Nothobranchius furzeri: one gene and its partner. The protein of the gene in region 2 purifies or fractionates together with the protein of the main gene of each other region. This does not show direct contact. Links are inferred from orthologs where the notes say so. Each region holds a gene or a part of one and is shown on either strand. Other genes may lie near its edges.

Evidence for each region.
Region 1: the proteins of ddx23 (region 2) and cd2bp2 purify together in Homo sapiens (affinity purification with mass spectrometry; 6 studies listed by BioGRID and IntAct, counting the BioPlex papers as one, with this or other methods). This does not show direct contact. The link is inferred for Nothobranchius furzeri from reciprocal best matches to the Homo sapiens genes DDX23 and CD2BP2.

The regions. Positions count from the first base shown.
Region 1 is NC_091745.1:8,816,155-8,821,133, reverse strand, and holds the end of cd2bp2 (CD2 antigen cytoplasmic tail-binding protein 2), read left to right. Parts: intron 1-575; coding exon 576-705; intron 706-840; coding exon 841-998; intron 999-1,077; coding exon 1,078-1,633; intron 1,634-1,708; coding exon 1,709-1,794; intron 1,795-2,787; coding exon 2,788-2,898; 3' UTR 2,899-3,070; downstream 3,071-4,979. Other genes in the region: prr14 (serine-rich adhesin for platelets), read left to right, coding at 4,647-4,747. UniProt on the Homo sapiens protein: Involved in pre-mRNA splicing as component of the U5 snRNP complex that is involved in spliceosome assembly.
Region 2 is NC_091755.1:54,903,590-54,909,238, forward strand, and holds the end of ddx23 (probable ATP-dependent RNA helicase DDX23), read left to right. Parts: intron 1-1,146; coding exon 1,147-1,389; intron 1,390-1,465; coding exon 1,466-1,617; intron 1,618-1,695; coding exon 1,696-1,804; intron 1,805-3,353; coding exon 3,354-3,528; intron 3,529-3,617; coding exon 3,618-3,841; 3' UTR 3,842-4,286; downstream 4,287-5,649. UniProt on the Homo sapiens protein: Involved in pre-mRNA splicing and its phosphorylated form (by SRPK2) is required for spliceosomal B complex formation.

The DNA of each region.
Region 1 (4,979 bases), on a different chromosome or scaffold from region 2:
ATGAAGTGAGTCGGATAACAGTTCAGTCTTACAGGACTATGCTTTAGCATATTTCTGACTCAAACGTGCCAAATCCCATACAGCAGCTGAATGCACCATTTAAACAAGTTGAATCAGATCTCTGTACTATTTTAGACTTTTTGCTGCTGGCATGTCTTATAAAGACTTTATTGAAACAGTTTAGTAGCAACAAGAATGGTAACTAACAATCTTCCATTTCAGTTTTCCACAATTCTCAGAATATTGTACATTTCCTATTTATTCTGAGTGGTTTGCCTTTTGAACTAAAGACTCTTTATTTTTTTAACCACTCATATCTTTGAGTTTTCTATTTTTCTATCACTTTCAGCAAATTGTTTAACCAGTGACACATTAATGCCTTTGTTTTTTACAGCAAAAGTAGTAATAGTGGTACTTGTGCCGCAGCACTGACCCATGGGTTTAGGGGTTTGTCTTCAGACACAATGCATTTTTACTTTTAATGCAAAGATCAGAACTTTGCTTTTGACTCTACGTTTACTGGTTATACTGCTATTTTGTATTTAGTTCATCATTTTCTTTTGCTGTAATTGCAGAGCTGTGAGGCTGTCAGTGGACCAGGCTCCAGGTTTAAGGGTAAACACTCCCTTGACAGTGACGAAGAGGATGATGGAGAGGACACAAACAACAGCAAATACAATATTCTTGACAATGATGATGTGGAGGGTATGTCTTGTTAAGTATTTCCATTATACTTTTGAAGTTGTAAACTGGGTCCAGTTTTCCTTAGGCTGTGTGAAGCAATGTTTTTTGTTAAATGCTTTTTGTGGTGAATTGGGGTGGTGCCACCTTTGTTTCCAGGCCAAGAAGGAGCGACTATTGACTTTGACGAAGGAGTTTCTATTACACCTTTCAACCTGGAAGAGGAGATGCAGGAAGGCCACTTTGATTCAGAGGGAAACTATTTCATCAAAAAGGAAACACAAATTAGAGACAACTGGCTCGACAACATAGACTGGGTAATTGCATTCTCAGACAAATGATTATTTAATGGAAGCTCTGCATTTTGCAGTAAGTGAAGTATCTGTTTTCTTGCAGGTGAAAATAAAAGAGCAGCCTATTAAGAAAAAGAAAGGTCTTGCAGCCAAACGGAAACGCAGAGTCGGTGATGAAGATGAGGCAGAGGAAGAGAAACGAAGGGAAGAACAGCAGGCAAACCAGGAGGATGAAGAGGAGGAGGAGATGCCTGCAGAGGACCCGTTGGCTGCCTACACTCAACAGCAGCTTGTTGAAGCTGTTGTTGAACTGCTGCAGCCTGGAGAAACGGTCGCCGCGGCGCTCCGTCGGTTAGGAGGCCTTGGAGGGCGCAAGAAGGGAAAGCTGAGAGAAGAAAACCAGTCCACAGAGGAAGCTTCAAGAGACACGGAAAAGCTGGATAGGCTCACAGCTTTAGCTGACAGGCTGGTTGGATCTGGGATGTTTGAAATCTATCAGCAGAGCTATGAAAAACTGGCCTACGTGATGAAAAGCATGACCAGCAAGAAGCCAGCAGTGAGGCAGACGAAAAGTGACGATGAGGAAGAAGATGAGCTTGACATGTTTGGTGATAAGTTTGATGAGAAGATTGGTGAGAAAGAAGAGGATGACAACCAAGGTTCTTTCCTTCATGCTTATAAATGATTAAGTTCAGAAGAAGGTTACTTACCTCGATTCCCCTTTTTCTTCTCAGTGAGTGATGAAGTGATGTGGGAATACAAATGGGAAAATGAGGAAAAATCTGAGGTCTATGGGCCATTCACCAGCCAGCAGATGCAGGTATTACTACTATTTTAGCTCTGACGTGTTAAATGCCCAACTTCCAAACTGATGTGGATTAAGAGGGTTTTCCTTTTTATTACGAATGTAGATTCTTGTGTGTCTGTGAGGAATTCAGAACACTTACCGGGCTTTTCCACCTGACACATTAGCATCACATAACGTCTGCAAAGCACCCTGCAACGTCCGCGAAGTGTAGTACACAGCAAATAGCCGCCGTCACAGTGGGTGCGTTTCCACCGACTGCTTAGCGCCAACGTTTTTGAGGCATCCCAGAAGCGTAGTGACGCGTTGCTCCGTTAAATTTATGCTTCCATTCTTATTTTTGTTAGCACTGTGCTTTCGTGCTGTGCTTTCATGACATGTCAGTCTCAGCCATTCAGATCAGGACAAACACAGGAGCACTGGGAAACATCTGGACACTTTAAAAATAATAAAAGACACGTGCCGATTTCCAGTTGCTTGTTTAAAATAGTTGTGATGCCTCTGTAGCCGAGGTAAACCCAACACAAAACAAACCACAGGTCTTTTTCAGACAAATGCTGCCGTCTTTCCTCTTCATTGTTACTGCGTGAACTTCCAGTTCTCTGGTGATTTCGTGATCTCGTGGGTTCAGCTGTTGGTGATGTTTTTGCCGCTGTTTCATTTCTGAAACGCTCCCAGTAGGAAGGGACAAGCGACTGAGATTGGAGGTCAAATGCTTCTATTACGTTACGCGACGCTTATGCATTCAGTGGAAATTAGGGGTTAGGCAGTGAGTAGTCTGATTTTAATTTTTTATTTTTTCTTGTACATTTATATTTTAAAAGAAAACATAAGTATAACACCTCATACATTTAAATGCAATGTTTTAAACATGTATTTTATTTATTTCCCTCCTCAAAATACCAATAATTCCATCATTTAATCTAAATAATTGAATTGTTGACTGGTTGTCTCATTAACCCCAGTCTGACCTAGTGGGCTTTTATTTTCTTACTGCTGTGTTTTCAGGGCTGGGTGGATGAAGGCTATTTTAGCAGCGGCGTCTACTGCAGGAGGGTGGATCAGGACGGATCTCAGTTCTACAACTCCAGAAGAATAGACTTTGACCTCTTCACATGAATTATGTACACCATCAGATGAAAAACAGCCCTCTTGAATTTTGTCACCACTCATGTTTTACTTGGATTTTCTCTGTTTATACACCAGGGTTTGGAGGAGAATTGGTCCATTCATTTTAGCCCTGCCTTTGTTTTCTGCAGATAGTTTTTAAATAAAAGGCTTGTGTGCATCATTGCTGAAATTCTATTCTTTCTTTTTCTGAAGCAAGGACACAGCTTGTAAATGCTGATTATTCATATACACTGCAGTTTTACATTTTATTGTTGCCCTTAATAACGTGTTTACATTTAAAGTTAGAAAACATGAGCACAGGGAAATCAGGGCAATGTAAGTTATTTTCTGTCGGAATAATTTTATTACAGTATTTAGGCAGAGTTGGAAAATGCCTAATAACCAAAATAAACCATTCCCCAGTAAATATGCACATTAATTTCGTAATGTGAATTTAAATTCGTCCTTAGATGGTTTTAAGCTTGAGCTTTATGCTTTTTTAAGTTATCAGAGAGGCGATATGAAAGGAATAGTGTCCGCTTTATCAACATTGCGTTTTAAATGTGTTAAACCGTTTCCTGAATGTGTGTCAAGTTATTAAAAAAACTCGCTTATGACGCTAGATATACAAGAATTCGTGAATTTTTCCGATGCTCCTATTGGCTGGCCTCAACCAGCGACCCTGACAGACGCAACATGATTGGTCAGCTTTCAAAGAGGCGTTTCGAGTGGAAACCAACCCTGAACTGTGATTGGCTGGGCTGATTGTTAGATTTGTAAAAACGGATACATTTTCTACTCGCAGTAGGGCGCCGTCTTTTCGTCATGTTTTGTTTACGGCGGGTTTGGCTTTCACCCCCACGGTCCAGTTACAGCTTTTAGGTGAGTTTATCTAATGGTTTTTATTTGCTGTCAACGTGTTCATGCAAGCTACATAACGAGAATATTCCCACAAATCCCGTAAGCACCAAAGAACGTGTAGAGAAATGACAGTTGTGGGCTACGACTATTAACTGGAACAGAAACTGCCACACTGTGTGTCCCTGTCGGCTATACAGCCATGGAGAGCTGACGGAGTTCGGATGAAAGTCAGCTACGACAACATTTGGGACAGTTTTAACGGTTAGGTTTTTGTCTGTTGTTGTTTTTTGTCGGCGGCTCACAATAAAGGTAAATAAAAAAAATTTCTCCAGTAAGTAGACTACGCTCAGTTTTGATCCGACAGCATCTGAAAACCTCGCAGCAAATAGCTGCTATGCATTTCATTTAGATGTAACATTATAAGGTGATTATTGAGTGTTTCCCGTGGCTTGGTGAAGGTTGTAGGATTTCGGCTGAACAACTTTGGCGCTAACACGGTGCAGCCTAGAGAGGGGGTCTAATATGTGCCACTTTGGAGGAAGGACTGCAGTTGTTAAAATCACAAAAGCTTATTTTCTTGGCTAAGTTTTAACACGATGACTGTCTCCCTTAACACTGACTGCGCATTGTTCTGTTGAAATCCATATGAATGATTTTGTCCTCAATACTGTTGATTAAAATCTTAACTGTAATCTAGTTGAAGTTGCCACTAATTCTCCCTTTGAGTTTGCTTCCAGTTAAAAAAATCTAAAGTATAATTTCTCAGCAAACATTCTGAAAATCTGGTTACTTTTTTATCTGAATCAGGTCTTGGTCTTGTAGTATTTTAGTAAGTTAAGACAAAACTGTATGCACAACCAGTTGTCCTATTTTTTTCCTGTGTGTGTATGTTTCAGATGAATATGGATGAAGATGTAATTCCCCCAAACCCTGTCTGTCATTCACCTCCCCTCAGTGATTCTCCATCACTTCTACCCCATTCCTCCGTCACCTTCAGGTACAGTTGTTGTTGCACCTTTTTGTTCATTTTGTTTTCCCCTCTTCAAAATGATCATGGGTCTATGTTTATGACGTTTCGCCTTCAACTCCAATGCTAGTTTGCAGATCAGTATTTTAGTTGGCAGAGAAAATGTACTTGATGAAGGTAAGACTTTAGCTTTTACATAAGTTAAGAGACATCAGGTAGATGTCAGTATTCATACTGATATTAGATTATCTTTCTTTTTAAA
Region 2 (5,649 bases):
TTGTTGATCCAAACACTGCTGATCTCTCAACACACATGATGGGCAGATTAAACAGTTCATGCCGATGCTTCTCCCACACAACGGGTGTTTGGATCTAACTTCCGCGTTTATTGCTCGGACTGTATCGCAAGATCTCGAAAATCCCGCGCATGCTTGTTTGCCCCCCTCAGGTCTCCGCACCGGAGCGGAGCCGTTGTAGAGCGGGTAGCAGTAAAAATTGAGTTCGGAAGCGAGCGGCTGCGGAAGGCGGGGGCGGACCGGAGCGGAGGTAGTGGAATTTGGGGGTAACATGCGTCTGCTCCAGAGAACAACCAAAACCACTCAGCTAGTACCTGGAATTTTAAGAGGAATGAGTGTAGATGCCCTGGTTGTTGATGATTATCTTTAATTTTTTGATTCTGACAGTTTGGAAGTTGTGTGAAAATATTCTTTAAATCTCTAGTAGAGCATTAATAGAGCAAACGTTCAGTATTTCATACTTTTTGAGTTTTGCAGCTTAATCCTAATTTACACTTCTCCGTCTGCGTCAGGACGGACGCAACGCCATTATCCGTCCTTGCGAGCCTGATGGAGAGCCCTCGCAAGAACGGACGGAGTCGAGCTCTCTCTTCTAAACATCCGTCTGTCGAGACGGAGAGCGCAAGCTTGCGATTGGTCAGGACGCCATCTACAGCGCCGTCATTGCGCCCTCAAAAACAAAGAGAGCCAAGATATCTCGCGGCAGACACGGAGAAGCTTGAAGAATACATCGCGGAAAAAACGAAAACAAAAAACGTTTTATCCCCCCGTGACCGGAGGAGTAAAACGATACGCAGCAAACGTTTTATTCGTGGACGGAAATCACGGGAAACGTGGGTTTAGAGGTGGCGAGCGCATGAAGAGGCGGAGGAGGATGAGTGACAAATTTGTTAAAAAGTCTCTTAAATACAACATAAACACACCATGTGGACTGGATGCATGACAGGATACCACAGAACAGCGCTGCGCCCTCTGCTGTCCTGGTGGGGAGTTGTTTGCTGCACTCCCCAGGAGACGGAGAAGTCCGATAGCACAACGTCCCCATCCGTGCGCGTGTGTCTCTCCCCGGTGACGGAGAAGTTAGGCTTCACTTTACCATTTCATTTAGTTTCTTTTTCCTGCCTACAGATTGTAATCGCCACTCCCGGTCGTCTGATCGATGTGCTGGAGAACCGGTACTTGGTTCTGGGCCGCTGCACCTACGTAGTCCTGGATGAGGCCGACCGTATGATCGACATGGGCTTCGAGCCTGACGTCCAGAAGATCCTGGAGTACATCCCGGTGACCAATCAAAAACCAGACACAGATGAAGCAGAGGACCCTGAGAAGATGATGATGAACTTTGAGTCTGGGAAACACAAATACAGACAGGTATGTGTTTGAGCGAACCGCTTGTAGGTACCAGGTGTTCTCTGGTGAACAAACCGTGATTTATCCAACCTTTCAGACGGTCATGTTCACCGCTACGATGCCTCCAGCTGTGGAGCGACTGGCCCGGAGCTACCTGAGACGTCCTGCTGTGGTGTACATCGGATCAGCTGGAAAACCTCACGAGCGGGTCGAACAGAAGGTGCTGCTGATGTCAGAAGGAGAGAAGAGGTGAGCTGCAGGCGGGAACACGGCAAACATCTCAACTGTGCCGGCGTGCTGAGCGAGTTTTGTTTTTGTGTCGCACAGGAAGAAGTTGCTGGAAGTTTTGTCGCGCGGCTTCGAGCCTCCCATCATCATCTTCGTCAACCAGAAGAAGGGCTGCGATGTGCTGGCTAAATCTCTGGAGAAGATGGGGGTAAGGATCAGGAGGCTGTGTAACAGGATCTCACCTTATGAAATAGATTTGACACCTATTCAGAAAAATGCTGGTTGTTTTCATTTTTAACTGCAAATATTGCAACAATTTAGTGACTTAACGGACTTTTGCTGCGCTTTAAGCTTCATTTACACTTATTCGTCTGCGTCGGTGCGGAAACACGCCACACCTTTATGCATCATTGCAAGAGTTCTCCGACGGGCTCACAGAGGGTGACGGAGACGTGTTCACTTAACAGAGACTGCAAGCTTGTGACTGGTCAGGATGCTGATTCCTGTAATTTAGTCAAGAGCGCCGCCTTCGCCCCCTCAAAAAGTAAAACGATATTTAGCGGCAGACATGGATTTAAGAAGGCATTGTGGAAAACAGTCTATATGAAGGTTTATTCACCCGCGACTGAAGGAGTACAAAGATATGCACAAGCGTTTTATTCATGGTCGGAAATGACGAACGTGAGTTTAGAGGTGCCGATCGCAGAAAGAGGTGGAGAATGGGAGACAAATTTGTTTGTGTTCAAAAGTCTCTGAAATACATGAAAACAATGTAAACACATTAGTAAACACACTATTGTGGACCAGATACTTGACTGTGATGGTGGCAGGAAACCTCAGATCGGCGCTACGCCCTCTCTTGTCTTGGCGGGGAATTATTATGCAACAATCCCCAGCTGACGGAGAAGTCCAAGAGCTAAACGCCTCTTTCAATGCGTGTGCGTCTCTTGCGCACGGCTGATGAAGTATAAATGAAGCTTTTGTCACAAAGTATCTTAAACGGATACTTTGTGACTTTTTCATATTTTGAATATCATTTTCATGAGCCAGTATGCGCTAAAATAACCCTTTACCAGGTTAAGGAAATGCCACTGTCCTTTGTGCATTTGCAACTTCAGAGTGCCGGTCTGGTCTGTTTGATTTAGAAGAAAATGGAGCTGACATACCTGGCGCTGCAGTCTTCCATCACGTTTCCTGCATATTTTGGATCAGGAACACAGCTGATTTGTTTAATTTAGTGATTATCCGCTCTTGTAGAGCTTAAGGAAGGCTGGGGAGACATTTCAGCTTTTAGCTTAAGGTGTTAAAAAGATGAATGCACAGTGAGGAAGGGCTGGGCGATATGGCCTAAAATCAATATCACGATATATTGAGGATTTCACCTCGATAACGATAAATTGGCGATAACCACAGGTATGTGTAGAAACAAAAGTTGTCCACTAGATGGGGCTGTCACACGTATAACGTTGAGTCAAGATGGTGCAGCTTCAAGCAAGCCAAGACTGCCTAGTCTCCCTTTAAGTCCATCTTGTGAGGAACATTCTGCTTGACTGAGCAACACGATGAGATTCTGTGACTGAGGAAATGTAACAATCTCCTGGTCTCCGATGGTCACAGCTCAGTGACCGTCAGAGACGCATACCTGTCTGGATGAACATTTTGCGACTTGTGGCTTTGATGAGTGTTTGGTTCTGTAGTGTTGTATGCATTATGTGTTGTTCACAGCTGTGTTGACCCTCGCCTTCTCTTCTTCTCAGTACAATGCGTGCACGCTGCATGGTGGCAAAGGCCAGGAGCAGAGAGAGTTTGCCCTCTCCAATCTCAAGGCAGGAGCCAAAGATATCCTGGTGGCCACAGATGTTGCTGGTCGAGGTATCGACATCCAGGACGTCTCCATGGTCATCAACTATGACATGGCAAAGAACATTGAAGGTCACTGTTTCTTTTTTGTCACTTGTGTTTCAACAGGCACTTGGTTTCCAAACATGGATAATAATCTGATCATGTGACTCTTCCTACAGATTACATCCATCGTATTGGTCGTACTGGTCGTGCCGGCAAGAGCGGTGTGGCCATGACTTTCCTCACCAAGGAGGACTCTGCTGTCTTTTATGACTTGAAGCAGGCAATCCTGGAGAGCCCGGTGTCCACCTGTCCTCCGGAGCTGACCAACCACCCCGATGCGCAGCACAAACCTGGAACCATCCTTACCAAGAAGAGACGCGAGGAGACCATATTTGCTTGATTTCAGTTATTTTTTTACTTCGTTCATTGACCACAAGACAAAAATGTTCCTGTTTATTTTCCCGTCGCACAATGTGCTCTTTGGTACTTTTTCACCTGGTTTTGTGTTATTTATGTCCCATTTGTGGTCAGAAAAACACATTTGCAGAGGGTGAAGTTGGACCAGTGAGCAAAACTGTGTATAAACGTGAAATAAGTAGCTGCAGAGTTTTGTGTTGTGATGTGAGACCAAAACCTGATGGGAAGTCAGGTTTTCCTCTTGGTTAAATGCTGTAACCGTTTTTAAATATAAACATCCGTACAACACACTTCAGATGACCTTGTTTGTTGAAGCTGTTGTCGAGACAGGCAAAAACATTATAGTCCACCGTTCAGAAGCAGTGGATAAAAGGTGCACCATGAAACAAGAACCAAAACCATTAAAAGTACATAAAATGTCTTGTTTATTTAGTTGAAGTCATATTTCACTTAGCATTGTAAATCGGTTTTGAAATAGAAAGCATTCTTTACAGCATCAGGCAGGAAACGGCTCACTTTTCTACTCATTTTCTGTCTTTTTGATAAATCCAGGGAAGAGGCGTGTCGGACCACGCTAGCACGCTGTGGTAGTCTGGTGGATACATGGTTGGATTTAGTGCAGTTATTGCATTACAAAGCAACCACCCCATCCCCAAACAAAATAAAATAGTGCAATTTTTTTCTACTCACATAGAGGAAGTCCGGATGGTCTAAGGCGTTAGTCTGTTTTGTTTTTTAATGTTAGGCTTCATATTGCATACAGAATAAGAAAATTAAATGATAACCCTTGTAGAAATTGTGCTTGATAAATTGAACATCCTTATCTGCGTCATCAGTTGCTAAGTTGGTCCACTTTGATAAACAAATTGGCAAAATGTTATGAAAGTAGCTAATTGTTGAACTGAGACATGCAGGCCTGTGAGAACTCCCTAACTAGTCAGTTGTTTAGAAATAAAATCCACCCTGGGAATACTTTTAGGGGCATCCTCAGCGCTCGGGGCTTTGGAGAAATAAATGTTCAGTAATCGTGTTGCGAGTCGCCCCAAAGACACGACCATCACTACAAGACGACGAGGAGAGTCCGAACCAAACGCATTTTACTAAAATACTTAACTGGAAAAAGAAACGATCAGATTTCATGCAACACTTGCATAGATTTTTTTCTTTTTTAAAGTCATGCATTTTTTAAAATTTTCTCTTTATATATACAGAACACTAGATAACTGTATGCGACACGTGGAAGCAGTAAACGCTGTCCCTGTGGAGGGACAGAGACGGGTCGCTGCTCAACAGCATCAAACTCTGCTCACGGACTAGAGATGGACAGGATGTTACGGGAGCTACGAGCGCCTCAGGAGCCTGACGGAACGTGGAGCTGAGCTCGATGGCGGTGTAGTAGGACTTACACCTGAGGATCCATCTTAGTGTGGAAAAGAAATTTTAAAAATGCTTAAAATCTTGGAAATGGTGAGTGCTACAATCAGTAACGTGCTACAGTTGGATGAACGGGGTAGAAACCAGGTGGTGCCGGAGGTGCAAAAGGCATGCAAGCTTACATTCTGTGAAGCTTTGACTCGGGAGCTGCAGCTGTGCAGCGTGTGCTTGGTAATGTGGGAATGATGGGATGTAAACAAGCGTTTTGGTAAATCCGTTCCTTGAAACATTTTCAAACATTCCATTTCTTAGTTGTATTTACATTCTGAGTGCCTTTTTTTTTTTAGTTTTCAAGGTGTTGGAGGGTGATAGTGCAACAACAAGTGGACCTACTGCAGCCTGTGACCGGTCGGAGGC